Mus musculus: one gene and its partners. The protein of the gene in region 1 interacts with the protein of each later gene in a pairwise test. Links are inferred from orthologs where the notes say so. Each region holds a gene or a part of one and is shown on either strand. Other genes may lie near its edges.

The links.
Region 2: the proteins of Rtn4 (region 1) and Syt16 interact in binary tests that used the Homo sapiens proteins (3 or more experiments, as listed by UniProt). The link is inferred for Mus musculus from reciprocal best matches to the Homo sapiens genes RTN4 and SYT16.
Region 3: the proteins of Rtn4 (region 1) and Snx15 interact in binary tests that used the Homo sapiens proteins (3 or more experiments, as listed by UniProt). The two-hybrid records come from large-scale screens. The link is inferred for Mus musculus from reciprocal best matches to the Homo sapiens genes RTN4 and SNX15.
Region 4: the proteins of Rtn4 (region 1) and Rtn3 interact in binary tests that used the Homo sapiens proteins (3 or more experiments, as listed by UniProt). The link is inferred for Mus musculus from reciprocal best matches to the Homo sapiens genes RTN4 and RTN3.

The regions. Positions count from the first base shown.
Region 1 is NC_000077.6:29,689,495-29,697,713, forward strand, and holds the start of Rtn4 (reticulon-4), read left to right. Parts: upstream 1-3,403; 5' UTR 3,404-3,694; coding exon 3,695-4,199; intron 4,200-4,279; exon of another isoform or gene 4,280-4,311; coding exon of another isoform or gene 4,312-4,468; intron 4,469-8,219. UniProt on the Homo sapiens protein: Required to induce the formation and stabilization of endoplasmic reticulum (ER) tubules. They regulate membrane morphogenesis in the ER by promoting tubular ER production.
Region 2 is NC_000078.6:73,994,363-74,002,469, forward strand, and holds the start of Syt16 (synaptotagmin-16), read left to right. Parts: upstream 1-3,414; 5' UTR 3,415-3,488; coding exon of another isoform or gene 3,489-3,501; intron 3,502-8,107. UniProt on the Homo sapiens protein: May be involved in the trafficking and exocytosis of secretory vesicles in non-neuronal tissues. Is Ca(2+)-independent.
Region 3 is NC_000085.6:6,120,188-6,127,378, reverse strand, and holds part of Snx15 (sorting nexin-15), read left to right. Parts: intron 1-3,190; coding exon 3,191-3,226; intron 3,227-3,428; coding exon 3,429-3,549; intron 3,550-5,223; coding exon 5,224-5,339; intron 5,340-5,448; coding exon 5,449-5,596; intron 5,597-5,856; coding exon 5,857-6,000; intron 6,001-6,169; coding exon of another isoform or gene 6,170-6,219; exon of another isoform or gene 6,220-6,585; intron 6,586-6,635; coding exon 6,636-6,893; intron 6,894-7,191. UniProt on the Homo sapiens protein: May be involved in several stages of intracellular trafficking. Overexpression of SNX15 disrupts the normal trafficking of proteins from the plasma membrane to recycling endosomes or the TGN.
Region 4 is NC_000085.6:7,429,049-7,436,558, reverse strand, and holds part of Rtn3 (reticulon-3), read left to right. Parts: intron 1-1,420; coding exon 1,421-1,628; intron 1,629-3,968; coding exon 3,969-4,107; intron 4,108-4,523; coding exon 4,524-4,593; intron 4,594-5,526; coding exon 5,527-5,573; intron 5,574-6,749; coding exon 6,750-6,808; intron 6,809-7,510. UniProt on the Homo sapiens protein: May be involved in membrane trafficking in the early secretory pathway. Inhibits BACE1 activity and amyloid precursor protein processing. May induce caspase-8 cascade and apoptosis.

The DNA of each region.
Region 1 (8,219 bases):
CAGTGTGGGAAGATCCTCTTTGGTGAACTCATTTGTGTTTCTGAAGCAATGGACATCCCTGTTCTGGATGGCAGACCGACCACTCAGGACTTCAGCAGCCACTGGAGCAGTGCAATCTTTACAGCTACTGCTGATATGGAAACAGGAGTCCCTGCTCGCAACAACAGCTAGGAATATTCACTGTTAGTATATCATTGGGCCCTCTGGTCTCCTGGAGACGGACAATATCAGCATCCAGTTTGTTCAAAATGTGTCTCAGGGCCATGGGTCAGTGGCTACTTTCCTGGAAACCCAACCCTTATATGAGCTTCATTGATGTTCCTGGTTATTACACATGACATTTAGCACAGGTGGATTGTCACAGGGAAGTTGACAAAGCTTCATACATCATAGCAGGACGTTTTTGGGTTTTTTGTTTGTTTGTTTGTTTTGTTTTTTTGAGACAGGGTTTCTCTGTGCAGTCCTGGCTGTCCTGGAACTCACTCTGTAGACCAGGCTGGTCTTGAACTCAGAAATCCACCTGCCTCTGCCTCCCAAGTGCAGGACTTCTTCTGTATTCTCCATTCATCTGTTGGTAGATATGTAAATAGCCATTTCCTGGCTATTTGGATAGTGGGATTCCTTTTCCTGACTTAAATTTTTATTTTAGGTCCAACACTAATTATAAACATGACTGAAGAAATTGATCTCATTTCTGTTTTTACTCTTAGTAGTGAATGAATGTACTTTGAACCAAGACATTTATTAACCAGGATTACAAAGCTACATTTCATAAAATTCTATATATACAGAACCTAAAACCAGGGAAGTGTTAGGGAAAATCATGCAGGAAGCTGTTACAACTTCCACTTAAGCCAAAAATTATGTTTCAGTGTTTTGTTTTGTTTTGTTCCAGTACAAAGAATGCATGTAACTCAGCAGTGCACTTGAAAAAAGACAAGTCCTTTTCAGTAGGTGAAAGAGCTATGGCAGAAAGCTCTTGAAACAGGTTTTATGTTGGAACCCATCTTTCATATTCCAATATATATGCATATATATATATATCCATCTCTGGCCCTTTAACTTTTTCAAAGGGCATACATGATAGAAGGCAAATGTAGCCTGTTCCACATATGAGTTTAGGTAGTGATTAAGTGTTTTGCAATAGTATTAATACCATAGCACTGGAACTGCCTATTCTTCTGAGTAGTGACCCTTCCTTTACCTGAAAATGTATAGACAAACTTTGCACCTGCTTTGTTTGGTGCTGGTATAGAGTACATACCTAATGCATTGTATAAACCAATAAAGCATAAAATGCAAACACAGAATGGATACTAGTTCAAGAAACTTTTGCTATGTAATGAATCACCTAAAAAGGCAGTGGTTTAAAACAACAGTGACACATTATTTTTCATGATTGTATATTGGCTCTAGGATGAAGTCGCATTTTTTGAGAGAATATCACTATGGCTGGGATAGTTAGGTGTCTCTTTCAATGTCTCTTTTCTTCCAGAATGAATAGGACCAGAATGTGTATGAATGCTATGCGGTGTATATGTGGGACACCACGCAGGTGCCTGGCTCCTGAGGAAGTCATAGAGGGCTTCATATTTGCTGGAACTGGAGTTATGGAGAGTTGGAAATCACCATGTAGGTCCTTAGACTCAAACTTGGGCTGTTTATTTACTGCAAGAGCAGTAAGTTCTCTTAACTAGCCATCTTTCTAGCCCCATTACATTTTAAAAGTTTTTTTTAAAAAAAGATGTGTGTGAGTGTGTATGCTGTGATTATGAGCTGCTTGGATGCTGGGAACAGAACTCAGGTCTTGTTAAAGCCATTTCTCCAGCAACCCTCACCAACATCCACCCCACCCAATTCTTTCTTAAAACTTAAACTAAATCTAGGGTGATATTACTTTGTTGGGACTACAAATTTGCTTAAAAACCAACAAAATCCATGGCAATCAAATATCTTAGTTATTAGAACATGCATTTAAAAGTTTCTACAAGCTGCTTCAAAAAGAATACAAGTGAACTTGATAATATAGTGTACTCATCCCACTATATCCAAAATACTATCAATGCCAACATAAAACCAATGTGAAACAGAAATTATAACATTTCTTATAAATTCTGGGAATGTAGTGTGTATTTTATTCACAGAACACACTTCATTTCAGTGCTCAGGAGCTAAAAGCAGCCAGTTGCTTCAGTACTAGACAGTGCACATGTAGACTGAACAATTGGAATGCAGGCAATCCTCTCTCCAGAGTAGGCATGCAGCCAGTATTTTTGAAAAGTGTATAAGAAAGATAAAGGGACTCTGCAAACCTTGAAGCAAAGTTTTCTATGTTCTACCGTTTTCTTTCTTTCTTTCTTTCTTTCTTTCTTTCTTTCTTTCTTTCTTTCTTTCTTTCTTTTGATTTTTTGAAACAGGGTTTCTCTGTGTAGCTTTGGCTGTCCTAGAATTCACTTTGTAGACCAGGCTGGTCTCGAACTCAGAAATCCACCTGCCTCTGCATCCCAAGTGCTGGGATTAAAGGCATGTGCCACCACACCTGGCTACCGTTTTCTTTAAAGTGTAGCTTTGGGGGGGTGGGGGTGGGGGGGACCGCACATCAGGAGACATGCCATTCCAGCATATCAAACCAGTGAGTGTAGGGCTTCCCGACTCCTAGGAAGCCTGAATCATCCGGGATGTTGACTCATCAGCCTGAGGTGAGTGAAAAATAGTGAACCAATTTTGCCTTCCAAGGCATCTATTTCAACGTTCCTTCCCCCTTCTCCCTTTCTGGTGACTCATTCTCCGTGCACTTTTAGAGTCCAGCAGAATGCAAGGCCGAAAGCATTCTAAACAGTGAGCCCAGAGCTCCGGGTAATCTAGCACAGCTGTTTTGCCTACCTCATTCCAGGCCTGCAGTCTAGAAAGGGAGGGAACTTGAAAGTGTCAAATAAATGTTTTGTTTTTCTTTCTCCTTTTGAGGTGGTGGTAGTTATGCGTTGGGACCATGTCTGAAAATAAGTCTTTTATCTAAAAAAATCCGTAAGACCTAATTCAGTCTTGTTAGTACCTTTCTCCACTTTTTTTTTTTTTTTTCCCTTTTCGGGGAGGAAACTTTCCACTCCTAGGTCCCCAGGATAACGCCCTTCCACAGGCTTCTTGGAAAACTCTCCAAATCCTGGGACCGCAGCCCGCCCCCTTTTGGTAGACTAAAATCCCGCTGTAGGCAAGGCCAAGTCCCCGCCCCATTCCCCAACTACACTAGGTGGGGGTGGATCCCAGCTCCAAACCCCGCCCTCCGAACGCCACCAAGGAAGTATGGCAGGCTCCGCCTGCACCCTATTTCTATTGGACAACCCCGTGATCCATCTTCTCTATCCCGCAGCCTATTGGCTCTCTGTCCCCCGCGCCAGCCAGCCCTCCCCTGCCGGGAAGGTGAGTCACGCCAAACTGGGCGGAGAGTCTGCCCTCCTCTCTCAGTTGCTCATCTGGGCGGCGGCGGCTGCTGCAACTGAGGACAGGGCGGGTGGCGCATCTCGAGCGCGGAGGCAGGAGGAGAAGTCTTATTGTTCCTGGAGCTGTCGCCTTTGCGGGTTCCTCGGCTTGGTTCGGCCAGCCCGGCCTCTGCCAGTCCTGCCCAACCCCCACAACCGCCCGCGGCTCTGAGGAGAAGTGGCCCGCGGCGGCAGTAGCTGCAGCATCATCGCCGACCATGGAAGACATAGACCAGTCGTCGCTGGTCTCCTCGTCCGCGGATAGCCCGCCCCGGCCCCCGCCCGCTTTCAAGTACCAGTTCGTGACGGAGCCCGAGGACGAGGAGGACGAGGAAGACGAGGAGGAGGAGGAGGACGACGAGGACCTGGAGGAATTGGAGGTGCTGGAGAGGAAGCCCGCAGCCGGGCTGTCCGCGGCTCCGGTGCCCCCCGCCGCCGCACCGCTGCTGGACTTCAGCAGCGACTCGGTGCCCCCCGCGCCCCGCGGGCCGCTGCCGGCCGCGCCCCCCACCGCCCCTGAGAGGCAGCCGTCCTGGGAACGCAGCCCCGCGGCGTCCGCGCCATCCCTGCCGCCCGCTGCCGCAGTCCTGCCCTCCAAGCTCCCGGAGGACGACGAGCCTCCAGCGCGGCCTCCGGCGCCAGCCGGCGCGAGCCCCCTAGCGGAGCCCGCCGCGCCCCCTTCCACGCCGGCCGCGCCCAAGCGCAGGGGCTCGGGCTCAGTGGGTGAGTGCTGCTGCGCGTTACGCCCCTCCCTCTTTTGTGTCTTGGCCCGGGGGAGGAGGGGACGGGCAGGGCTGCTCGGGACCCTAGGGCTTTGTCTACGAGTGGCAGGGTGATGGCGCCCCCGCTGGCGGGAGGCGGGCAGAAGGGTGGGGCGGCCTCGGAAGCCTGGGTGCCTTCATTGTTTGTCGGGGTTTCGGGGAGCACGTGCACCGCTGCCAAGTCGCTGGTTCCCATTCCAGCACGAAGTTCTCGCCTATCAGCAGCTAGGAGTGTGTTGAAGAACTAGGATGGTGGATTCCTTGGGCTGGGCTGGGCTGGGCTGGGCTGGGCTGGGCTGGGCTGGGCTTGGAGGTGGGAATGGGAAGGCTGTGGTGCCCTAATCCCTTTATTTAAAGGATGGGCGTTTGTCGACCACTCTACAGTTTTTTTATTTTTTAGGGCCTGCCTTCCTTCCTGCCGGGCGTCGGGGGATCCCCTTGCACTAATCCCCTGTTTCTTTCTCCCTTTATTGGTGGGGAACTGGCCGAGCTGCTAACGTCTATACAGTAACCCAACTGCGGTGAAGGGGGAGCGAGCGCCTCCAGTGGCGTGGTTCCAGGAGAAAAGGGAAGGAGAGACTTTTGGTGAAGTTCTGCCACCGCCCAGTTCATTTGTGTTTAATGTGGTGATTCCTACACCAGCCTGAGAAACGAGATCTGGGCATTTTGTTCCGATGGGGCATAGTTATCCAGGGCCTCAGTTGTGCTGTAAAAGAAATTGCCAAATTTAATGGCATCTCTTAGCCTTTAAATGCATCGAGATTGACTTGTAGAGAAAAGGCAAAATGGTTGACCTTAAAAAGGGGCAAACCTGTGGATTCCTGGTCAGGAATTAGTTGAACTTGTGGTAGATTTATCCTGAGACATAATGAAATGTTTTAGGGCAAATGTTCCTATATTAGTTAGAAGTTTTTATAAGTATATGATTTACATTGACAAAATGCATTGAATATTGTTTTATTGCCCTTTTTATTTTGGAAAGGGAAAAAAATCAAATTTTGTAAAGAACGAGAATGCATCTTAAGTAGTTTATTACTTTGGGACAAAGTGTCTTGCTAGCAAAAAGCCTTTTTTTTCTTTTTGTAAAGTAAGGTAAAAAATTAAATGGTATAACTGCCTGCTGGGAAATTTTCACAACATTCCAGATCTAGGAGGTTTTATTTTTTTAGAGAAATAATATCACCCCAGAGCTTGCAGTATCTTTTTTATTACAATTAACTCTCTTATAATGGGGATAATGAATCAATAGAAGTGATCCTGGGTAACAATTCATTATGGGCACACCAAAGGCACTATTCAAAAACAACTCCTACAGTAAAGAATTTAGATGAAGACTGCCTTGTCTTTTCATTTTTATTTTCCTTTCCTTTTTTTTGAGGGAAACTAAAGTAGAAAAAAATAAAGTATTAAAATTTTAAACTGGAAACAATGATTGGCCAAACTATACTTTTCATTTTTTCTACTTTCATAGAAACAAGATAAATAGTTTTGTCCTTTGAATATGGAGGGGACTCAGGCAGCATCAGCATTTTCTTGAAATACTGACAAATTTTAGAAGATTTAGAAATACTAACAAAGTTTAGAAGACAAAAGAGGAATGTTGTCTACCCAGGAATTTTGTACTCATTGTGTTTTTTGGAAGCTTTATTCCCTTTATTGAACACAACAACAGTGAGTTGTGGTTGTTGATATTTAACTCATCGCAATACATTAGATTTCTTAATGCACTGAAGAGTTTGGCTATTGGCTGGTCCCTATTATTGGTTATCTAGGACACTTTACAAAGTTCTGGGCTTCCAAGGTGTGGCAGTAAGCAAGACTCATGCTCTCCTCATGGGGATAATACACAAAATAAGCACACAAAAAAGTACTAAAAATGATGGTGTTATGAAACGATAACAGCTTGAAGGGATGAGAATAACTGAAACATGTGTACCCTTTTTTTTTCTTCTTAAAGATCTATTTATTTTATGTATATGAGTACACTGTAGCTGTCTTCAGACACATCAGAAGAGGGCATCAGATCCCATTGCAGATGGTTGTGAGCCACCATGTGGTTGCTGGGAATTGAACTCAGGATCTCTGGAAAAGCAGTCAGTGCTCTTAACCGCTGGGCCATCTCTCCAGCCCCATGAGGACCCTTTTCAAGGTTGCTTGATGATAGGAAAAAGAACTAAGGTTTGAGCTGCAGAGAAAAAATATATATATAAAGGAATTCCTAGGGCAAAGACCCTGAAGCAGGAGTGAGCTTGTTTATTAACTAAGATTATTAAGGAAAACTTATGCAGAGTCAGGTAGTTAGGAGCCTCTGGGGTCACGGTAATAAGTATGGCTTACAGAAATAGTATTTTAGGAATATGCTACTTGAATAATTACATTGTGATTTTGGAGCAAAAATGTAGTTTTGAAGGTTTATAGATGATTATAATAAAGACAAAGGTGAAAGCACTCTGTCCATGGTTAGAATAGACAAACTGGGAGAGGCTATATATAAACCCCTAGCAACTGTGTTTAACACTGCTATTTACATTAGTTTTTTTCCTTAACTCTGATATCCTTCAGTTAGTAAGTTATAGTTTTCCTGAATTGCAGTATCTCCATTGTAATGTATTGAGACCTGTACCTTTTACTTGATGACCATTTTTCTAGAAAGAATGGTTCATTTGTTCTAAGGAAACTTAGAGATTGATTTGAGGAAAGTGCAGACATCAGTTGACCATTTTTCTAGAAAGAATGGTTCATTTGTTCTAAGGAAACTTAGAGATTGATTTGAGGAAAGTGCAGACATCAGTTAAGATGACTAAGCTGATCTTTAGACACATTGGTAATGTGAATGAAAGTGTGTGATAGATTAACTGGAATTCTGAAGGGTATTAAGTCAAAATAAAGGAATCTGGATCTTATTATCATACTTTAATTCATAGTCTGCCGTGTCAAGCTGCTTTTATATCATGAAATCAAAATGGTTCTTCAAAAAAAAAAAAAAAAAAAGATTTGTGTACGTGCACAGGCCAGAAACAGGAGGGTATCTCTCTTGTTGAGTACAGATATGTTGGTATCCAGCTTGATAATGAGATTTTATGAGTTGGTTAGTCTGTTTTGTTTCGTTTCAAAAGAAAAAAGATTTATCAAGCTTCTGGTGATGGTGGTTTCAAGGCATGGCATCTGTCATCTACTTGGCCATGGTAAAAACCTTGTAGATAATGTCACAGTGGTGAGAGCCTGGACTAGAGGACCACAATTACATGGTGAGACAAGGAACCTGGGAGGAAGTAGGAACCAGTCTTGGCCTTTTATAACCATCATCTTGTGAGAACTCAGGTTCTAGTAGAACCTTTATTCTTCCTGGGATTACAACCCAGATTACAACCACTTCCCAGTAGGCTGTTCTCTTTTTGTCCCTGGGTATTGAATTGATGGCCTTGTGTTCTATAGTGAAGCCACTACTGACTGACTCACTTCTCCAACCTCTGCACTTTTAATATTAATGTAAGTTCTTTTATTTTGTGACTTGGGGTCTTTCTGCCACAGCTTATTGAATATCTGGAATTACAGGTTTGGGTATACAGGCCCACCTGTGGTCCCCACTTCTTAAAGATATGATTATCTATTGATGTAGACATGTGGGAGCCAAGCTCTGTATAGTATTTTTGAACAGTACTGAAGTAATGCCAAAAATACCTTTTCATCAGCTTTTCTAAGTTGTACTCTTGCAGATTGTACCTGTTGGAAGTGTCTTGACTATCTGTCTACAGTTCTGTGGAATGGCATTTATGTGTGTGTACCTTTTCCATTTTGTACCAAAGTGTCTGCAGAGGTCCGGGGGATATGGTTCAGTCGTAGAGCATTGCCTCAAGGATTCCAAGTCAGGGGTTTGATTTTTAGCATTGGAAAAAACACTGCTATCCACATGCCCCAACTGATCAAACAAACAAATAGATGCAGAGAATTCCACAGACATATAGCCCAGTAGTCCTCATCT
Region 2 (8,107 bases), on another chromosome or scaffold:
TCCCCCTCCAGCCACTCCCTCAGTCGCTCCTCTTCCCTCGGTAAGGGCACTAGAATCCGAGCTCAGCACTGACCATGGTTTTCATCCTTGTGTAATTTCACTTATCAGGTAAGTCTCTCACCTCTACTAGACATTGCAATTTATAGTGTTAAGGTTTCTAAAAAATATATTTATTTTATCTATGTATGACTGACTGTTTTCTTATATATTTGCATGTGCATTAAAATGTAGCAGATCCTCTAGAGCAGATGGTTGTGAGTCACCATGTGGGTGCTGGGAACTGAACTTGGGTCCTCTGGAAGATCAACAAGTGCTCTTAATGCCTGAGAAATCTCTCCAGCCCCTAGCCTTAAGTTCTGTGAAGAGACAAAAGAGCCAAAGTCTTGGCTTTTAATTTCAGAAGCTCAGGTCAACTACAAGACACAGATTTGCAAGAATGTGGGATGTTAAAGGGTCTGTTTTCCAGACTTTTAGGAGCGGGACTTCCTGGTCTTTTGAAAAATGGCCTTCATCATTGTTTGCATAGCTGTGAAGAGATACCATGACCAAGGCAACTCTTATAAGGATAATATTTAATTGGGGCTGGCTTACAGGTTCAGAGGTTCAGTCCATTCTTATAAAGGTGGGGAACATGGCAGCATCCAGGCAGGCATGGTGCAGAAGTTGCTGAGAGTTCTACATCTTCATCTGAAGGGCGGTAGGTTAAGACAGCAGGTTAGGAGGAGGGTCTCATTGCCCACCCCTACAGTGACACACTTACTCTAACAAGGCACACTTTCTAATGGAGTGGCACAAATAAGAAGTGGATGTCCAGGTAGACTGTGACAGACTCATCGTAGGTCATATGACAGGTTTTGTTTGTTGGCTCACTCTGCAGAGGTCCTTTCAGCACGTGGTAGACGAATTTGAAATGTGGTTACAGGTCAGGAAGTGACTGAGCAGGTAAAGACCCCTGTACTGAAGTGTAACAATCAGAGTTAGATCCCTGGGACCAACATGGTTAAAGGAAGAACTGACTCTCCACACACTGTCCTCTGACTTTTACATGCATGCTGTGGCATGTTCCCACACTAATAAAGAAATGTAATAAAAACATTTTTTTTAAAGGGATAGTTGTCTGGTCTATGAGAATAGCCTTGATGCTCTATAGACTTTCCTGTCTGTTCAGAATGGTGTGGGCAAATACTCATGTGTTTCCCTTCAAGGGCAATGGAAAAATTGAAGAGAAAAAGACTTGTGAGGAGTTTAGAGGTGGGTGACAGGGTGGGAAGCAGTGGCTGTCCCATGCATGAACTGGTAACTGGTGGCCACCCGTGAGTGAGATCTTCAAAGTGTGCCCAGGGGTGCCCAACATTTTGACACTGTGATGCTATTACACACACACACACACACACACACACAAAATCTCATACTTTTAAGTCAGTTTACAATCTTGTCTTTGACCACATTCAGAGCTCTCTTTAGCTGCATGTGACCTGTGGCTGTGTGGTAGATACTGCTATAGTGCTAAGGACAGATGGTACCCGATGCCTTTCGGTACACCTCCATGTTACCCAGTGCTTACCCCCAAACTTGCTTGTAACCTCTCAAGTGGGAGAAGGGATTACCACAGACAAACCTGGATTCATAGAATTGACTCCCTGAAATCAAACTTCCTAACAATGGCCACTTGGGTCAGAGGCTAAATTTGATTATACAGAAGAAAAGAATATATTTTTTTTCTTGAACACATTTGGATGTGTGGATTATCTATCTTATAGAACAATCATTTATCTCATGACAATAAACCTCATATCAAGTCCGCCCTCCTGAATCTCCCTTCATTTAGTGCCAAGCCTTCTGAGACTGTTGTCACACGTAGGACCTCCAATCTTTAAGTCCACTAGTTTCTTAGCCCTTTCTAGGTGTCGTCTGGTTCTACTGCCCACATGTCACTCATGAAACCCAGGCTTTGGGTCATCATTATCCCTCTTATAATTTAGAAAAACACTTTAATGACTAAAGAGCTTCACCAATGTTCTGCCCCTTGGAGCCAAACCCACCTCTCTACCTTGATGATCAAAATAGCTTAAGATGAAGATTTTCGAGCTTCAGACAGGTTCACAGTTCTTGAGGCGTTTTTAATGCTCTTCTTGTGTCTCTTTGTTTGGGGACCTACCATCACCACCGAGGGTTGTTAGAACTAAAACATGAACCTGGTGTCTATGCTTGAGAATCACATGTGCCGTAAACAGATTAAAATGAAAGCCGCAGCCAGCAGAATGTGGATGCGGTTCACCCTCATCGTGCTGACTCCCTCACCTACATCCTGTGGACTGATCAGAGAGGACCCTTTTGTTGTTTTCCGGTATTTTCCTTTGCCCACCTGGTCAGACGGCAACTGTTTCTGATTCTGCTTTGCACCTGAATTCTGTTGGTGCCCAGCGATGCCTGAGATGACGCCCACTGGCATCCTTACTGTTTGGGTTAAATGAGTGGCCTCAAGCCGACCAAAGGCATCGTGCCTGCACAAACAACAACGAAAAACAAAAACCCAATGCCTTCCCGTGCTTAGGCTTTGAGTTTGAGCCACTTGATGCTTCCCCATGTGGTGGTGGTTTCTCATTTGCTACTGGTCCCTAAATATAGCAAGGATCTTTCAGTAATTGGTTTATAGCATTCAACAAGATGTACTGCGAACAAACGCCCACAGGTGGACTCATTTCAAAGTCCTTTTAACCGCGATGGTCCTTGAGGCAATACTGATTGCTTTTCTCGTGGAGCTGGTCCTTTAATACAAGTCATCGGAGCCGCCTGTGGTCTGGCTCGCAATTATCCACTCGTTAGTCACCCATCCTGTTCACATCTAATTAGTTAATTGGCCATTTATTCACTAACTCATTAATTCACGCAGGTTTCCAGTTAGAGTCCTCCATTAAGTCGCTTAATAGAGATCTGATAGCCTACTACACACAAGGCTCTATTTTCACCTTGGAGACAAAACAAGAGGATGAGAGGAGTCTTGGTCCTCACACACAGGAGGCACCTGTGTGATCCTTGCTTCTCTCTCCCCCACCTGCTCCCTGCTTTGCTCCTTTGAGCTAGGGCTCAGGGTCGACATTGCTGGAAAGAAGCACCAGGCCCGGATGAATTGAAAAAAGCAAGGCAGGATACCAAGTGTTTGTTCAGCGGGAGAATAGAGCGGGCAAGAAACCTGGAGAGGAGCGGGCCAGGTTGCTAGCTGCTTTGTCTTAGGGAGGGATGATGCTACGGGCTGGGCAGGGCAGGTTCGGTGGCGGTCGGCTCCGCTAGGGTGTGGGGACGCTGGCGGGGGCGACCCAGCTGGCAGCCACCACGGGGCTCGGGGCGGCGCGACGGGGGCGCGCGGCGGGAGCGTCTGTGCGCGTCGCGGCCCTCGAGCGCGCGGGGCCTGTCGAGAACGCGCGCGGCCGGGCGCGGCGTGGGTACCCCAGCCGCGGGCGGCCGCCCTGCAACCCCCCGACGCGACCATGGCGACTGACAGTAAGTGCGGGGTTCCCCGGGGGCGGGGGCAAGGCATCCGGGGTGGCAAGTTCTCCTCCCGCGCGCGCCTGCCTTTGTGCCCAGCTCGCGGGGGCAGCGACCGGGTACCCCATCTCCGGAGCCCGCCCTTGTTACCGTGCCCATCACCTGCTATGGCTGACAGGACTGGATAGGGTTGGGGATCCGAGGACCTCTCAGGAGGGATGCAGCACCCGACTGGAGGGGACACTTGATGCTTGAAGGCAGCAGGGCTGGGCCTCGCAGCCCTTTGGGGACTGCCTCCAGGCCCACAGCCAGTTTTTAGGGAGCCCAGTATTGGGGCGCTGTGAGTTCAAGGTTTTCCTGGAGTTCTGGGTCAGATTGGCACGCCCTCTTCCTGGTGGGTGGCCCCACTGGGCTCTGTTCTGGGGCTCTGAAGCCACAGACCTTGCCTGGCTGCCATGGAGAGTGAATGAAAGGGGCGTGCAGAGAAGGAAGGTTGACACCGAAGACTGGAAGAGTTGCAAGGCTTCAGGCTGGCCTGCTGTTGGCATCTTGGAGTCTTTGCTGCTGTTTTTGGAAATTAGGGTTACCGCTAAGAAAACTGGTTACATGTAGCTGTAGCTTGACCTGTTAGTGGAACCTCAAAAGGAGTGCAGAGTAAAATAAGTCACAACACTTGTCTTAGACTTAGCATCTAAAGTCCTCAGCAAAAGTCATGGCACACAGTAGGGACTTCATTCACTGAATGTACCATGTGATTACAGACAATAATAAGGCAATTTTGAGAGATGAGAGGGGACAAAATAGGTGTTGAGGGTCAAAATTTCATTATTTTTTCCTTCAAACTTATCATTATTCAGTCAAGAACACAGCTTGCATACAGTACAGAGGATGCACAGTTTCGAGTTAAAAGCTATGATGACATTTTTATATCCCAAGTCCCTCAGTAGTGGGATTGTGGCCCTGTTCCCAACCTTAAAACTGTGGCTGTTGGATTTAAAGGCTCAAGTCAGTAATCCCAGGACTTGAGCGGCTGAGGCAGGAGGATATCAAGTTACAAACCCTGTTTCAAAAAAAGTATATGTATGTGTAGATTATGTGTATACACATGCGTAGTGAGCCTGCCATACCCGGGAAAGTGATGGGTATCTATCTCATAAGTAGTAGGCATGCAAGAGAAATGGACATGTGTGTGGTTGCTCACTCATCTCCCATTCGCCATCATTTCGTTTGTGTGGCGACACCAATGGACCCTCTCTGCTTTCTGTAGATCAGGGGGTGGCACAAAATTAACTACTAGAGACAACCCTTTTTGCTCTCAGCTCTGCTTCTATGGACAAAAGTATACACATTAGGTAGGTCTAGGGGGAAGAAGCTATACATTTAGATTTTTATTAACAAAGAAACAATTGCACTTGCCCTTATTTGTGTAAATGGTAACTAAAGAGTTCCAGCGATACAGAATTTCTATCTTCAGTTCTTCAGGTAAGGGGATGTCAGGTGAGAGGCAGGGGGACGGGGAACACCATCACACAGTGAGGAGATGGCCTCACTAAGATGCATCAAACCTGGGTACAATCTGCCTCGATGTTGCCTGATTGCTTTTGTTTCGGGGTTCTCGCCTCCTTACATTTCTCCTTGAGGGAAAACCCAGCTGTAAAGCCAGGCAGAGGGCAGCCTGTTGTGCTCTGTCGTTCTTGGAAGGGATCCCAAGGAAGCTTCTCTGTGATTATAGCTTGTGAGTATAGGTAGGACACAGAGGTATTTATATATATATTTGTCTGGAAAACAGTCTTTACACACAAAAAGGATGAGAACTCGGAGAGACTGTCCTGTGTCCAGACGCAAAGTCATAGATTGAAGGGCAGTTTCAAGAGAAGTTGGGATACTCAGTTGGTTTCCAGTAAGTTATTATGAAATGGTTACGCGCCTAGGTGTGCGTTGTAAATGGTGCTACTCAGAGGTATTTTGAGCTATGTTTGAGGTAATGGGTAATTTTGTTCCAAGTAGTTTCTATTTGTCTTTCCTGTGTGGCATTTGTTGCATTATCAATACTTTTTATCAAGGATCTTCACTTTTGAATCACTGTTGCCTGGTTGTTTTGAAGGTGCCTTTTTATATGTGCATGCTCATGAGTGCACATGGGGGGTGTGTGTCTATAATCTATCTTTAAGCATGCATTTTCTCAAGGGGCTGGAGAGATTGCACTTCAACTAAGTGTGTATTCTGCTCTTCTCAAGGATCCAAGTTTAACTTCCAGCATACATTTTGGGTGGCTCACAGTCACCTGTAACTCCAACTCCAGGGGTTTCAACACCCTTGTCTGGTCTCTGAGGGTCTCTGAAAATACCCCCTCATAAACACACAGACACATATAATTTTCAAAAATAAATCTTTAAAAAAGAAAAACATTCAAGACACATTGTATGAAAGTCTTGAGTAAATAGAATATTACTAAAAAAAAAAAAAAAGAAATAAAAAGAGTAAACTCTCCAGGACAGCAGGCATGCTTTGAGTGGTTGGAGATAGCTAACTGAAGTGTGCCCCCAGAAGTCTCGGGCAATCCTTGGGCTGCTGGATCTCCAGAGGTGTTGCAGTAAGTATTCTGTATCTTAAGGAGTTTCTCTGGATTGCTTGGGTTGTTCCTGGTCCATTGCATGGATGCTCATGAGTCACCGTTGCCTGGTCCATTTAGAAGCCGATTGCTGCTAACCCACAGGCAGGCAGTCTCTACCAGCAGTCATTCCTCCCCACTCCCCTTTCCATTTCCCAGCAACCTGCAGCTACTTTATCCTCATCTTTTCAACTCCATCAGCAATGTCTACTCCTCTCAGTGTGGAAGGAAGTGAGTGAGTCAGGGCAGGAGGAGGTAAATGCGGAGCCCTAGCAGGAAAAGTTGGATTTTTACTGCCAGATGGGTGCTTGACACGTTCTAGTAGAACGTGTAGACTCTAAAAGAAAGTTGCCTGAGTGCAAATAAGTTCATTATTGAGTAAAACTATCTTCAATCCCAGTAATGACTGAGACAAATGATGACAACTATAACTTTAGGCAAAGAGGTAGAAAATTACAGCAGACCTGGAAACTTGGACAATTCATTGGTGGTGCTGTCTTCTGCAGAAAACATTGTGTTCTAATAAACACCACAGCAATAATCAGTTCAAGCAAGAATCACCTGTGGCTCCTGAACACGCGTGTAAAGGGAGCAGTGTGCTGCTGGCTTTATGTCAACTTGACATAAGCTAGAATCATCTTAGAGGAGGCAACTGCAATTGAGAAAATGCTGCCCTGAGATCTTCATTAGTGATTGATGGGGGAGGGCCAGACCCATTGTCTATTGGATATCCCGTGTTGGTCCTGGGTTCTATAAGAACGTATTCTGAGCAAGCCATGGAGAGCAAGCCGGAAAGTAGCACCCCCTCCATGGCCTCTACATTGATTGGCTCCTGCTTCCAGGGTCCCGCCCTGTTTGACTTCCTGCCCTGGAGGATAAACAGTGATATAGAAGCATCAGCAGAGTAAGTCCTTTTCTCTCCAACGTGCTTCTGGTTGTGGTGTTTCATCACAGCAGAAGAAACCCTAAGGCAGTGGAATACCTAAACTCTTAGAAGAATTCCCCCACCGATATCTTGCTAGTTGTAAAAACAAAATGGTAGTTTTATAGTGGAGGAACCTGAGATACATTATCTTAAATAAAGAATTGCAACAACCTGCTGTCCTGATAGGAAGCTCTGGGGAAGGACAGGGTGCCGCTTACCAAAGATGTACGACCTGATTCTAATCACAAGGAGACGCCATTTAAACACGAACGGAGGCACATTTGTAGATATTAATGTCACGGGAGACTGCGGAGGCTTTATCCATGCTAAGGAGACAGCCAGGGCAATGGAGGATTTGAGGTTAAACCCTAGATCAGGAAGATCAATGCTGTAGAGAACAGTGTTGTGTTTAAGTATCCCATTTGCCTTGGGGCTTCTATTGCTGTGCTGAAACACCATAACCAAAAAGCACTTTGAAGATGGATCATGTTAATATAGGAGGCAAATAGCATCAGTGTCAAGTTTCACAAGTTTTATGTTTTTATTACATTTATAAGTGGAATGCACTTCTTGTTAGGGGAAGATGACATACTTAGGAAGAGGGGGCATCTATCTGCAACTAAATCTCGTGTGTTGAGGAAACACAAATATCTATGTACATGCGTGTTTATAAGTATGTGCGCGTCACATGAGCAAGAAAGGGCTAATGCAAGCGTAGCAAGATGTCACTTGGTAAGACTAGCGATCTCTTGTTCTTGCAATTTCTCTGTAAGTTTTTTTTTGTTTTTTTTTTGTTTTTTTTTGTGTATCCTAGCTACTCTAAACTAATGTTTCAGAGTTTAATTTTTGAAAGGTTCAAAGTTATGGACTCCTAAATTTGGTTTGGCTCTTTATTATGGAAAACGTTATATGCACTGAAATATAATGGACCCCCATGTACCCGAGTGCCTCCGTATTCACAGGTTATCTTTTTACATCCATTGCCACACTCTTAATTAATGCAGGTGTTTAGAAAGCAAGTCCAGACATGGTTACATTAGCTGTTGAGGGGTCAGTGTGCTGTGTGCACATCTCCTTTCTGTACT
Region 3 (7,191 bases), on another chromosome or scaffold:
CTTAACAGATAAGGAAGTCAATAAGCTGAAATTGGTGTTTGTAACAATAAAACTTAGAATGAGCTCGTAGAAACATCAGCATGAAAGAATGCTTTTAGAATTTTACCCAAGGTAACTATGGAGGTCTCCAATGGGAGAAACCGGGTTGCTGCGGAAAGACTGACTATATATTTTCTTGTACTTAAATTTTTTTCAACTTGGCAACTGTTTGATTAGTGGCTTGTCGACTGTTAAAAGGAAGCAAACACATACAAGTCGCTCCCAAAGCAATCTAAGTCAGAGTCTTAGATACGTCAAGAGTGTTCCGGGGGTTTACTTTTTCATGCCAAAAAATACAAATATAATAATTGTCTCTAGGAAGATGCCGGAGGGTAGAAAGGATGACAAGGCATTCAGAACCCTTATGTCTTCCTGTTAGCCTTTTAGATCTAGTCACATGCCTTACACATGCATAGAGTTGTTTTTTTTTTCCAGTGCTAGGGTTGAACTCATGGCCTCCCACATTTTAGAGAACTCTCTCTCTCTCTCTCATTCTCATTCTCTCTCTCTCTCATTCTCTCTCTCTCTCTCTCCATGTCTCTCTCTTGCCACAGCACCCTACAAGATGATCCTTTTTTTATTTTATAGATTTATTTACTTAATTTTTTTCTTTATTTATTTCGAGGCATGTTTTTTCCCTGTAGCCCTGGTTGTCCTGGGACTTGTGTTGTAGACCAGGCTCAAACAGAGATCCATTTGCCTCTGCCTCCCCAGTGCAGCATCCCTAGGGATTAAAAATGTGTACTACCCCTCCTGGCTTATTTACTTAAAGATTTAAAACGTAGTTGTTTTTTTAAAAAACAAAAACATCTGTGCACTCTCCATGCAATACCAAAGGAGGCCAGAAGAGGGTGGTAGATCCCTATTGATTGGAATTACAAGCGCTTGTGTGCCCTCACGTTGGTGCTGGGAATAGAACTTCTGTCCTCTAGAAAGCAGCCAGTGCTCTTAACCTGAGCCATCGATCCAGCTCCAGATTTATTTAATTTTATATGTATGAATATTTTGCCTGTATGTATGTTTATGTACCAAATACAAGCCTGGTGAGATCAAAGGTCAAAAGAGGTCTTGAATCTCCTGGAATTGGACTTAGAAATTATTTCTATCTGCCATCTCAGTGCTGGGAACCAAACCCAGGTCCTTGGCTACAGCAGCGAGTGCTTTTACCTGCTGAATCATCTCTCCTTGTTTCTGGCTGATGTACGTGTCTGTGTGAATGTGTAGCACAACTGCGTGTGGATGCCTGTTGAGGTCAGAGGAAGGTGCATCAGATCTGATCCCCTGGAGCCAGAATTACAAACGATTATGAGCCACATAATGTGGGTACTGTTCTGGGCACTGAATGTAGTGCTTGGAAGATCAGGTCATGCTCTTAACTACCGAGCCACCCCTCCTGTCCCCATCCTTAGATTTTAAATGGGCATCTTAATCATGTCTGGTTTGCTGAGATCTAGAAAAAAAAAATGGAAAGGATGTTTTGAAAACTGTTGATTCTAAACTGTACAACCTTACTGTAAAACTCCCATAAGCATAATAGCAAAAACTAAGTGTTACTTCTGTCTCGGGCCAATTCTGTTCTTCCAGAGTGCCCAACCCCACTGCTAACTCTGTCTTCATGGGTATGAGACATTGTAGCTCCTCTCTTTTTTTTTTTAAAGATTTATTTATTTATTATATGTAAGTACACTGTAGCTGTCTTCAGACACTCCAGAAGAGGGCATCAGATCTTGCTACGGATGGTTGTGAGCCACCATGTGGTTGCTGGGATTTGAACTCCGGACCTTTCACCAGCCCGTAGCTCCTCTCTTAAGAAGAACTGGATCCTGGGACAGACTCTCATTTTTTTTAAATGATTTATTTATTTTTACTTTATTTTCTGTGCATCGGTGTTTGACACAGCCAGTGCTCTTAACTGCCAAGCCATCTCTCCAGGAACCATCTCTCCAGCCCCTAGACTCTCATTTCCTGAGAAGCATAGTTTTGTTTTGTTTTGTTTTGTTTTCCTTTCTGAATACCAGGACGTGGCCCTAGGGAGGAACTGGGATAGAAGTTGAGTGCCAAGCCTAGGGGTGAGTGTCTTTACCCCACTTAAGAAGCAGAAGCAGCCACATCTCTGTGACTTTGAAGCCAACCTAACCGTCAAAGCAGGTTCTAGGCAGTTCTAGGCCTGCCAGGGCTACAGAGGGGAGCCTTGTCACTGCTTAAAAAAAAAAAAAAAAAAAGGAAAAAAAACCCGCCAATTAAAAAAAAATAATAAAGTTGGGAGATGATGGAGAGATGACTCAGCAGCTAAGAACACTGCTGCTCTTCCAGAGGCTCTGAATTCAGTTCCCAACTAACACATGGTGGTGCAGCTCACAAAACATCTGCTGGCATGTAGGTATACATGCAGATAGCACTGCTAATTTTAAAAAAAATACAAGTAAAAAAGTTAAAAGGTAGCCGGGCAGTGGTGGTGCACGCCTTTAATCCCAGCACTTGAGAGGCAGAGGCAGGTGGATTTCTGAGTTCGAGGCCAGCCTGGTCTACAGAGTGAGTTTCAGGACAGCCAGGGATACACAGAGAAACCCTGTCTCGAAAACAACAACAACAAGTTAAAAGGTTTAAAATAATAATAATAATTAATAATAAAAGTTTGTCTACAAAGTGAATTCCAGGACAGCCAGGGCTATACAGAGAAACCCTGTTTCAAAAAAACCAAAATAAATAAATAAATAAATAAAAGTTGAGTATAGGGCTATCTAGACATTCAGTATACTCACGTTTATAAGATAAAGATACAGTTATACAAAGGAAAATTTTCTCAAGGAGCTGAGGATGTAACTCAAGAAGTCCTGAGTTCAATCCTTAGTATCAAAAACAAATAATAAAATAGCTTAATTTAGTAGTGCATGCTGTAATCCCAGCACTTGGGAGGCAGAGGTCGAAGGATTTGGAGTGCAAGGCCAGCCTCTGCTACACAGTCAATTTGAGGCCATCTTAGGCTACATGAAACCCTGCATGCAGAAATCCAAAAGAAAACTTGCTCCAAGCCTTAAATCCAGGCCCATTTATCCCAGCATGCCCATTATTCTGAAAGACACTGTGAGGGGTGGCGCAGTGTTGCCTGTCAGGCTCTGGTCTCACCTGGCTCCCACCTTTCCTTTCTCAGTTCATCTCAAAGAAGGACCCAGAGGATATCAAAGAGGTGAGTGTGGCTCCCAGGAAGAAGGGCTGTTCCTGTACACATCAGCATCAGTAAGGGAAGAGCTGGTAACCAAGGACAGCCTTCTTCCCTGACCTGTGCTGGAGAGGGTGTGTGCAGTCCTTCTCGGACTCTAGGATACACTTAGTGTGGGAAGGCCACTTTCCACCGTGCTGGTCCAGGTCAGTTCTCAACTGCCTCACAGGTAGTAGTCTGGAAGCGGTACAGCGACTTCCGTAAGCTCCACGGGGACTTGGCCTATACTCACCGAAACCTCTTCCGTCGCCTAGAGGAGTTTCCGGCCTTCCCCCGTGCCCAGGTGTTTGGTGAGTATTGACTCTGAACCTCTCTGCCCCAGTGTGCGGGCAGCAGGGAACTGGTCTGGTGGGAACTGTGAGTGTGATGTTGTACCCTGAACAGCCATCTTTGGAAAACTAGATGGGCCTTCTCAGATGGCCTCATTGAAATATGGGGAAAGTGAGACTCTGAGCAACCTCCCCTTTATTGTGTGTCGGGCTATGAACAGTCCCAGCAAGATGAGGCTCGTCAAGGTGAAAGGCCTTTGTCTGAGCCTTAGTCTGTTCTCTGTTTCGATAGCACAGAGGATGCATTAGTTACCATAGGAACGATGCTTATTTTGACATATGGCTCTGTTCCAAAGTTCAGAGGCCACATCTGCTGATGGCTCTGTTGCTGGCAGAGGCCTAAGGTAGCAGGGAGAGAGTCAAGGAGGACATGAGGGACAGAACACCAAGCTAGCTTTTTTTTTTTTAAAGATTTATTTATTTGCCGGGCGTGGTGGCGCACGCCTTTAATTTAATTTAATTTAATTTAATTTAATTTAATTTAATGGGGGAGGGGGCAGAGGCAGGCGGATTTCTGAGTTTGAGGTCAGCCTGGTCTACAGAGTGAGTTCCAGGACAGTCAGGGCTACACAGAGAAACCCTGTCTTGAAACAAAACAAAACAAACAAAAAAAAGATTTATTTATTTATTTATTTATTTAATGTATGTATGTGAGTGCACTGTCACTGTCTTCAGACACACCAAAAGAGGGCGCCAGATCCCATTACAGATGGCTGTGAGCCACCATATGGTTGCTAAGAATTGAACTCAGGACCTCTGAAAGAGCAGTCAGCACTCTTAACCGCTGAGCCATCTCTCCAGCCCCCAAGTTAGCTTTTATAGCAGAGAACCCAAGAGTCCACTCACCCATTAACTACAGGAGTTCTCAGAGTGTGTTGTTGGCAGGCCACCCCAAGCCAATGAGACCATCATGGAGAGTAGGCTAGAGTGCTGGCTGTGCCCCCAGTACAACAACAACTAAGGTAGAGCTAGCCTATACTACATGTAGCTTTGCCATTTGTTGTTGGTTTGCTTCAGTTTTTGTTTTTTCCATTTTCTTGAGACAAAAAAAAAATCTCAAATGTAGCCCAGGCTAGCCTTGAACTTCTAACGATCCTCCTACCTTAGATTCCCAAGTATAAGCTAACAGGTGAGCCCCACCTTGCCCAGCAGTGGGACAGCTTGCTCTGTGACCTTGGGCAAGTCACCTCCTTCTCTGAGCTTCACTGCCCTCCTGATCGTATCCAAGCCTCAAATGGCCTTTCCTGTCAGACATGATAGCCCACACCTTTAACCCCAGCACATAGAAGGCAGAGGCAGGTGCATCTCCGTGAGTTTGAGATCTTCATAGCAAGTTCAAAAGCCAGCTAATTACAAAATGAGACATTAGCCGGGCGTGGTGAAGCATGCCTTTAATCCCAGCACTTGGGAGGCAGAGGCAGGCAGATTTCTGAGTTCGAGGCCAGCCTGGTCTACAAATTGAGTTCCAAGACAGCCGGGGCTACATAGAGAAACCCTGTCTCAAAAAAACCAAGAGAGAGAGAGAGATTGGAGAGAGAGAGAAACAGACAGAGAGGGAACAGAGAGAGCGAGCCTGAAGCCCCCCCACCCCACACCAATACACACACTGCTGCTCTCCTGCCCTGGGGTCTGCAGGGCGGTTTGAAGCCTCTGTGATCGAGGAGCGGCGCAAGGGCGCGGAGGACCTGCTGCGCTTCACGGTGCCCATCCCTGCACTCAACAACAGCCCCCAACTCAAGGAGTTTTTCCGGGTGAGTCTGTCTGCTCGCCACCCCCGCCCCCAGTCAGCTCCCTTGTACTGCTTCCCGCCCTGCCAGCCACATTCCTGACCCCTCCCCTGCTGAACTTTGTCTCCTGCAGGGCGGGGAGGTGACACGGCCCTCTGAGGTGTCCAGGGACCTGCGAATCCTGCCACCCCCTCTCATCCCCACACCACCTCCGGATGAGGCCCGGCTACTTCAGCCGCTGCCTGCGGAAAGGAGGGGCCAGGAGGAGTTGGAGGTGCCAGGTATCTCAGGGTCAGGGAAGGAGTGAGTCCTCCTCCCACAGGGGAAAACATAGGGGTGGGCAGTCCCACCGTCCTCCTGGGGAGGACCTCTGAACAGGTCATCTTCCCTTCTGAGCTCAGTTTGCTCACCTATCAGATAGGATCTGGCAACCTATTGGTGGCCCTGTCAATACCCATGGCTGCTGCAAGGGCTAATCAAGACTGTTTTGAAATCGGAGCAACAGTAGGTACAGACATCTGTCCCTCTGGTCTCTCCTCAGTGGATCCCCTCCCGTCCAGCCCTGCCCAGGAGGCCTTGGACCTTCTCTTCAGCTGTGACAGTACGGAGGAAGCTTCCAGCTCCCTGGCTCGAGGTCCCCTCTCTGAGGCTGAACTTGCCCTTTTCGACCCTTACTCCAAAGAGGGTAAGGAGCAGGTGTGGGGTAGCGGAACTAAGGGGTGTGAAGGGAGACCCTCTGTGGCTGTGAGCAGCTCTGGGAGGAGCCCAGGAGGATGGAGCTGGAGGATGGAGGGAGTCCTCCTCTCCGGGCAAACTCTGGGTAGCATATCACCATAGGGTCCTATTGCTCACAGACTTGCTGTGTCTGGCCTTGGTGGCACGCACCCTGCATCCTAGCACTTGAGAGGCAGAAGCAGAAAGACCAGAAGTTCAAGGTCATGGGCCAGCAAGATGGCTCAGAAGGTGAAAGCCCTACCTTATGAACCTGGCAACCTGGTTCCATCCCAGATTCCACTGTAAATGATTAAAACAAACAAACCAACCCAGAACCTGTCCTCCAGCCATGGCATGCTCACACCTGCACTCACGCCTGCACTCATACCTGCACTCACGCATGCACTCACGCATGCACTCTCCCATGCAGCAGTAATAATCCACTAAGCCGTTACAAAACCTCCTGAGCCAAACCAAGGAAACAGATCCCAGCTGCTTCCTTCTACTCAAGTGAATTCAGTGGGACAGTTTGGTGTCCTGGGGTGGGCAACAGGCCCTGAGAAAGAGAGGGCCAGTCTGCCCTCACTCCTCCCTGTTTTATTACAGAAAGTACAGGCCCCAGCCCTACCCACACAGGTGAGCTGGCAGCCATTGAGGTAGAGTCCAAAAGGCTGGACCAGGAACCCTGGGAGCCAGGAGGACAGGAGGAGGAAGAAGCTGAGGATGGAGAGCCTGCCCCAGCTTACCTTGGCCAGGCCACAGAGCTCATCACTCAAGCCCTGCGGAATGAAAAGGCTGGCGCCTACGCTGCTGCTCTCCAAGGCTACCAAGATGGGGTGCACATTCTTCTGCAGGGTGTCTCAGGTGGGTAGGGCAGTAGGGAGGAGGGAAAGTAGAAAGCAAAGGACCAGGGGAGGTGGTGCAGTCGGTAAAGTGAGTGCCGTGCAAGCAGAAGACCTGAACTAAATGCCCAGAGCCACACATAACAGTGTGCACCAGCAGAGACGGTTCCAGCAAACGTACCCATGACAAGATGGGAAGCAGGGACAGGAGAATCCCCAAAAACTCGAGGGCAGCTGAACCTGGCATAGGCTGCAGAGAACAGAGAGATCTTATCTCCGACAGACGACAGACACGGTGATAGGGGAAGACCTACACCCAA
Region 4 (7,510 bases), on another chromosome or scaffold:
ATTGTTATGCAGTTTATATTCTGCATGCCTCTAAGGGGCACTAGTCACATGTGAATTGTACATCTGACTATCTTGTATAACAGCTTTCCAGCAGGTGGCAGTAAAGTCCATGAGGACACAGTGGCTCTTTTCAACTTTGCAAATGTAGAAATCCGTTTATTTTCTTTCTGTGTAATAAAATTAGATTTATTAATTTTATTTATATAAGTGTTTGCCTATAAGTAAGAATGTATGTATGCATCATGTGTGTCCCTGGTGCCTATGGAAGCCAAAAGAGGTCTGTTACTCTCCTGGAACTGGAGTTACAGACCGTTGTGAGCCAATCTGTGGATGCTAAATTCAGGTCTTCTGGAACTGCTGAGCCATCTCTCCAGTCCGCTGTTGGTTACACTGGTAATTGTTTGTTTCCTTGAATATTTATTTATTTTATATATATGGGTACATTGTCACTGTCAGACACATCAGAAGAGGTCACCGGATCCCATTACAGATGGTTGTGAGCCACCATGTGGTTGCTGGGAATTGAACTCAGGACCTCAGGAAGAGCAGCCAGTGCTCTTAACAGCGAGCCATCTCTCCAGCCCTACACTGGTAGTTTTTAAGAATATAGATTAGTTATTTTGTAGGACATTTCTCCAGGTAAGTTTGTCTAGTTACCTTCTCTTTTTAAAAAGGTACATGTTTGGGGCACATATCATCAATTTGTTTGATTGGTTGATGACATGAAACCTTTCTGCATTCTGTATTGAAACTATACTTATAGACATGAGAACTCGACATAGGTGTGTGCCTGACTTTTGACTATAGGAATTACCCTGCTTAGCGCTGGCCCTTTTAGGTCTCCTTCATGCAGTTCCCTGTATCGGCTCAGTTCAATCATGTGCACCTGACTGGAACCCTGTTTTCTCCCGATTTGCAAAATCCACTACCTGGAACTCAGTTTCCCAGCAGGAATCTCAAAACCTCTCCTTCCTAGTAAATCACATAAGTTTGTTGCATGTAGGTAATAATACACTCTACCTGCACTGGACTTGAAACAGCTTTAGGGAGATGGTGCCATTTTCTTCACTTTACAATGGAGAATGGCTTAGAATGGTGAAAAGTAGCACAGGTAGAAATGGCCAAGACTCAGACTCTCATCTGTCCAACTCTAGAGGCCTTGTCCATTTTTGTAAGGCTGGACAGTTTAGCAAGACCCTGTGTCTTAAGAATAAAAACAGTCAGATATGTGTCACAGGCCTACAATCCCAGCTCGTAGGAGATCAGGAGTTAAAGGTTGGGTTACAAAAAACAACCCATAATAACAAAATCAAAAGTAAAGAGGTGCCAGGATACTAGGGAGATAGATGGCAGCCAGTAAAGCACAGCACAGCCAAGGTGGTCCTGGGTTCTCTAACTTCTATTCCCCCTCTCTTGGCAGTGCACGATCTGATTTTCTGGCGAGATGTGAAGAAGACTGGGTTTGTCTTTGGCACCACACTGATCATGCTGCTCTCTCTGGCAGCCTTCAGTGTTATCAGTGTGGTCTCTTACCTCATCCTGGCTCTTCTCTCTGTCACCATCAGCTTCAGAGTCTATAAGTCTGTCATTCAAGCTGTGCAGAAGTCAGAAGAAGGACATCCATTCAAGTAAGTTTGCTGAGATAGCACATGTCTGAAGTTCTAACCTGTCTCTTACAGATAGATGGCAAAAGCAGTCCCTAAATACTTGCCATCACCCTAAGAAGTAATTAGGTTAGTATCTGAGAACTTTTAACTGACTAGAGACTCACACTTAAGGCTAATAAATCCAGAGCTATAAATCCAGAGCAGGGCACAGAATAGCTTGCCCAGGGCAGCCCTCAGTCAGCCATTGTGTCCATGTTTCAGTACTATATAGTAACAGCTAGAAACAGCTTTGAATTCCAAGTTCTAGAACCAGGGGGTTTTATTTCTGATTTTCTTTAACTCTAGTGCAGTTTCCCTGAGTCTAGGGGCAGTTATTTTTACCCTTTAAAATAATATTTATGTATATGGCTGTTTTACCTGTATGTATGCCTGTACAACATATGCATGTGGTGCCTTTGCAGGCAAAAAGAGTGCATCTGGTCCCCTGGAACTAGAGTGCGGGTTGTAATTATAAATTAATATAGTAATTGTTGACTTAGTGAATATATTTTACAAGCTCAGATATCTTTTTGTCGGGAGGGGGGGTGTTAGAGACATGGGACGGTTTGGAGACAGGGTTTGTTTGTTTTGTTTTGTTTTGGTGGGACAAGGTCTCTGTGTGTCTCCCTAGCTGGCAAAGAACTCACTGTGTTGATAAGGCTGGCCTCAAACACAGAAACCCACCTCCCTCTGCTTCCATACCTGGAAACATCTCATGTTTAAAACCTTTATATTTATAAACAGGAAAATGAACACATGCCTCTTACTCTTCTGCTCTTCCAAGAGTTTGAGCTCCTCAAGATGTCTTCAAACCTGATAAGCAGTAGACGCTCAGTAGCTGTTGTGTGAATGAACAGGTTATGAGCACAGGCTTACCCCTCAGAACAAGAATGCCAGACATGGTCACTGTGGCATGCCAAAATCGCAGCATTTGGGAGGCCAAGGCAAGCAGAGCTCTTTAAGTTCAGGCCAGCCTTATCTATACAGTAAGTTCTAGGGGCTATGTAGTTGAGACCCTTTGCCTGCCTATACACCTACCACCACCCTTTTTTTAATCTCAGCCTCTGAAAACACAGTGTGTTATATAGTTTGCAGCCCTAACATATTCATGATTGCTACCCTCCTCAGTCTTTCCTTTGCTTTTTTAAACTATGCTCCCTGCCCACAGCTTGGAGATTGAGCCTAGGACCTTACACATACAAGGCAAGTGCTCTACCATTGAGCTCTAGTCCCAGGCCTTTTTTGTTGTTGTTGTTGTTGTTGTTGTTGTTAAGTTTTTGTTTTGATGGTGATTGCTTGACACAAGGTCTCTCTACGTAGCTTTGGGTGTTCTGGAACTTGCTAAGACAAGGTCCTAGCCAGCAAGATGCTCAGCAGGTAAAAGCTTGACAATCTAAGCTTGACAATCTGATTTCAGTCCCTAGGACCCACATGGTGGAAGGAGAGAACCAACTGCCACAAACTGTCCCCCGACCTCTACTTGTGCACCATGTGTGTACCCACTGTTTTAGACAATGTCCTATTGCTGGGAAGAGACAACATGACCACAGCAACTTTTATAAAGGAAAACATTTAATTGGGACTAACTTTTGAGAGGTTTAGTCCTTTACAGTTCAGAGTTTACTACAGTTTAGTCCATTGTTATGGTGGGAAGCATAACAGTGTACAGGCAGACATGGTGCTGAGACCTCTGTCTGGATCCACAGGCGACCAAAAGAGGCAGTATGAACCACTGGGCTTGGCTTGAGCTCCTAAAACGTCAAAGCACACTCCTAGTAGGCCACATTTTCTAGTAGTACCACTGCCTATGAGCCTGTGGGGTCATTTTCATTCAAACCACTACACACACACACACACACACACACACACGTACATACACATGTGCATTAAAAATAAAACAGTGTATTTGGACAGTAGGTCGGTAGGAAACTGTTAAAGAAAGAGAAAAAGAGAAGGACAGGATAGGGCCAGAGAAATGACACCCATGGTAGTTCTCTGAACTCAACATGCATATACACACAAACACACAAATGAATTTTTGGTTTTTACTTGTTTTATAATGCTGGGGATTGAACCAGGATCTCATGCATGCTAGGCAAGCCCTCTGCTATCTGATGTACAGAGTGTATTTTGATATATCTACACCAGATAGTTCTTCATTGTACATTCATAGATAACTGGCATATTAGCTTTTATCGAGTAAAGGACAGCTGTGTCCCCTACAGAGTTCTAGAATGCTGATTTCACACTAAAATACCACTGTGCTGTTGAAGAATTTCCCCTTGTGTGTCACATGTGCGACTGTTTTTTCTTCCTCGGAAGGGCCTACTTGGATGTGGACATTACCCTGTCTTCAGAAGCTTTCCACAACTACATGAATGCTGCGATGGTGCATGTCAACAAGGCCCTCAAACTCATTATTCGTCTCTTTCTGGTAGAAGACTTGGTTGACTCCTTGAAGGTTAGTTGCTGGGCTTTAATTTAGAGGTAAGCCGGGCAGTGGTGGCGAATGCCTATAATCCCAGCACTTGGGAGGCAGAGGCAGGCGGACTTCTGAGTTCGAGGGCAGCCAGGACTGCACAGAGAAACCCTGTCCCGAGGGGGGGTGGTAAAATAGGGCATATATAGGGTTTTATCAGAAAAGAGAAAATAACTATCAACAGAAAATGCTGCCACCTACCAGCATTAGACCAGCATTAGACCAGCGGTCATCAGCTCAGCACCCTGAAATTATGGACCCCAAGACAGTGAGTTTTCTGACTATAAGTGCACATGGGGGAATCTGTGTCATAAAACACTGCATTGATGCAAACCTAGTTAGCTTGAACTCGGGGGTATGTTTATTCTTATTTAACCCTCTGACACTGACCTTCACAGCTGGCTGTCTTCATGTGGCTGATGACCTATGTTGGTGCTGTTTTTAATGGAATTACCCTTCTGATTCTCGGTAAGGTGACAAGGAAAGTGTGTCTTTGTGCTTATTTCTTTAAAGACTTGTAAGACTAAGTGTAAATGCCGGGCGTGGTGGCGCACGCCTTTAATCCCAGCACTCGGGAGGCAGAGGCAGGCGGATTTCTGAGTTCGAGGCCAGCCTGGTCTACAAAGTGAGTGCCAGGACAGCCAGGGCTACACAGAGAAACCCTGTCTTGAAAAACCAAAAAAAACAAACAAACAAAGACTAAGTGTAAATGCTGAGCTAGATGGTACAGACCAATAATCAAAGCTGTTCAAGAAGCTGAAGCAGGAGAATCAATCCTTCAAGGCCAGCCTGGCTAACCTAATAAGGCCCTGTCCAGGGCAACCAGGCATGATGGTGCATACAACTCTGATGCCCTCACTAGGTAGACAGACACAGGAAGGTCAGGAATTCAGCATCATGTTAAGCTTCACAATATGTTCTGGGCCCACTGAGGACATAAAAACCATCAATAAAGTGAACAGCCACAACAATGTAGCTGAGGACTGGAGCACTTTGCTACAGATCACGTATGCAGTGTGATCTCTTACTCTGTAGAGCCAGCCTGTGCATTTACAGTGTGGTAGACGTTAGTGTAGCCTGGGCTTGTGGCCGAGAGCTTATTAAATGCTTTCACAAAGGATTTCAAAGCAACCGTGAATAAAGAGCACTGTTTAAATTTGGTTTAAATATGGGGACCTTGCTTTTAGAAACCACTTGTAGTTTAGAAGTTGACACCTGTCATACAAAGAAAATAGCCTGTTAGGGGTTTTTCAACACTACCCTTATCTGCTCTCTCCCAGCTATCCTCAATTTCGAGAGCTCTTATTTTTCCTTTTTGATTGTTTCTCTGTACTTCATGAAGAAGTGTCTGTGCTGCTTGAGTCTCACGTTTGCACTTGCTGTGTTTTTATTGTCTTACAGCCGAGCTGCTTGTCTTCAGCGTCCCAATTGTCTATGAGAAGTATAAGGTAGGCATTTATCTGTGGTAGATATGCTGAGTAATGTGTGACTGGCTTCAGTTCATTTTAAGGAAAGTAAAAAACGGATAGCAAGAGAGACTGGAGGCCTAGATAGATGTTCTGAGTCATAGGGATGAATTGCCCATTCCAAAAAGGAAGGTAAAAAAGATGATTTGTAAAGCTAATCTTCTAAAAACTAAACTGCACTTCCAAGGAAATGTTAGTGTGAGCAGATGTTTCCATTGTGGACGGGGTAGATTATCTCTGCATCTGAAGACCTTTTGGGAGTGTCAGGGAGATGGCTCAGTTGGTAAAATGTCACACAAGCATGAGAACCTGAGTTCTTATCTCAGGCACCCACATAAAAATACCTGGTGTTAAATGTACACCTGCAACCTGAGCCCGGAGGAGGATCTCTGGGACTTATTGGCCAGCCATTCTAACCAAATCAGTGAGCTATAGGTTTAGTGAGGGACTGAACTGTCTCAAAAAATAAAGTAGATGCCTAGGGATGTAGGTTAGCTGGTGAAGTACTTGCCTAGCCCTAGGTAAATTGTGTCTAGGGATGCGCATCCATAGCATGTGGGAGGTGAGTCAGGAAGGTGAGAGGTCCATGCTTCAGCCTTATTTACATGGTAAACTGGAGGCCTCATCTTTAAGTTAATTAAATTGATTAGTTAATAACAAGATAGAGAGCAATTGAAGAGAAACCTTAGATCAAAATTTTGCCTCCAAAGACACATGCACACTCATACACATATGCACTAATATGCACATATAAAAAATATTTTTGGCTCTTAATTATTAAATGAATTAATAATGCCCAGGAGTCAAAAACACATCACAACTACAGAATAGATTAAATCTGCAATTTCTAGTACTTAGAAAAGTACTTCAGTGTTACTACAGAAAATACCACATAAGTTCTACTTGTACAAATGATGTGTAATTTTTATTTTGAAGTGTTGTTGAAATCTGAAAACAGAACTTTCACTTCTGAAAAACTGGACATCATTTTTATTTTCTGGGATAATGAATACTGGGATTTTTTAATACTTGCACTAAATAAGAGAATAGTGCCTTTTGGGGGAAATAAGAATATTACCAAAATATATATTGTATGAAATTTTTCTTAGCCCCTTTATTGCCCAGCTGAGCCTTCTTTCCTTCCTTTCTTTCTTAAAGACACAGATTGACCACTATGTTGGGATTGCCCGGGATCAGACCAAGTCAATTGTTGAAAAGTAAGTGTACTTAGGGACCACGTTCACTGTTTCCCATGTGGACTCCTCTCCCATATTGTTTAGTCTCTTATATAAAATGTTACTGTCAAACGTAACTAGTTTTCATCCTGAATAAAACTTTAGCTTTGTTGTACTTAAGAAGCATCTTTGGGCTTTGTGGTGGTGGTTTGGTTTGTTGGGTTGTTCATTTGGTTTAGAGACAGGGTCTTGCTGTGTAGCCCAGGCTGGCCTCAAACTTAATATCCTACCCTCCAGCTCTCAAGATAGAAATGATCAAGGTAAATACTTTGGCTGTCAAATATGTTTGGTTATTTAACCCTATTTTCATATGTATCCAAGTTAAGGCAATCTTTCCTGTCTTTTCTAGTAAGTAATAAAAAGCTTAGATTCCGTCATTGTGGTGAACACCTGGAGTACTTGAGAGGCAGAAGCTGGTGAAGTTGAAGGTCCAGCCTGAATTCCAAGATAGCCAGGGCTATGTAGTGAGAGCCTACCTCAAAAAGAGCAAACAAAAATCCCTGTTTTGCTTTTTAAAGTTCTATAAGATATCATGAATTTTTTTTTTTTTTTTTTTTTTGGTTTTTCGAGACAGGGTTTCTCTGTGTAGCCCTGGCTGTCCTGGAACTCACTTTGTAGACCAGGCTGGCCTCCTCGAACTCAGAGATCAACCTGCCTCTGCCTCCCGAGTACTGGGATTAAAGG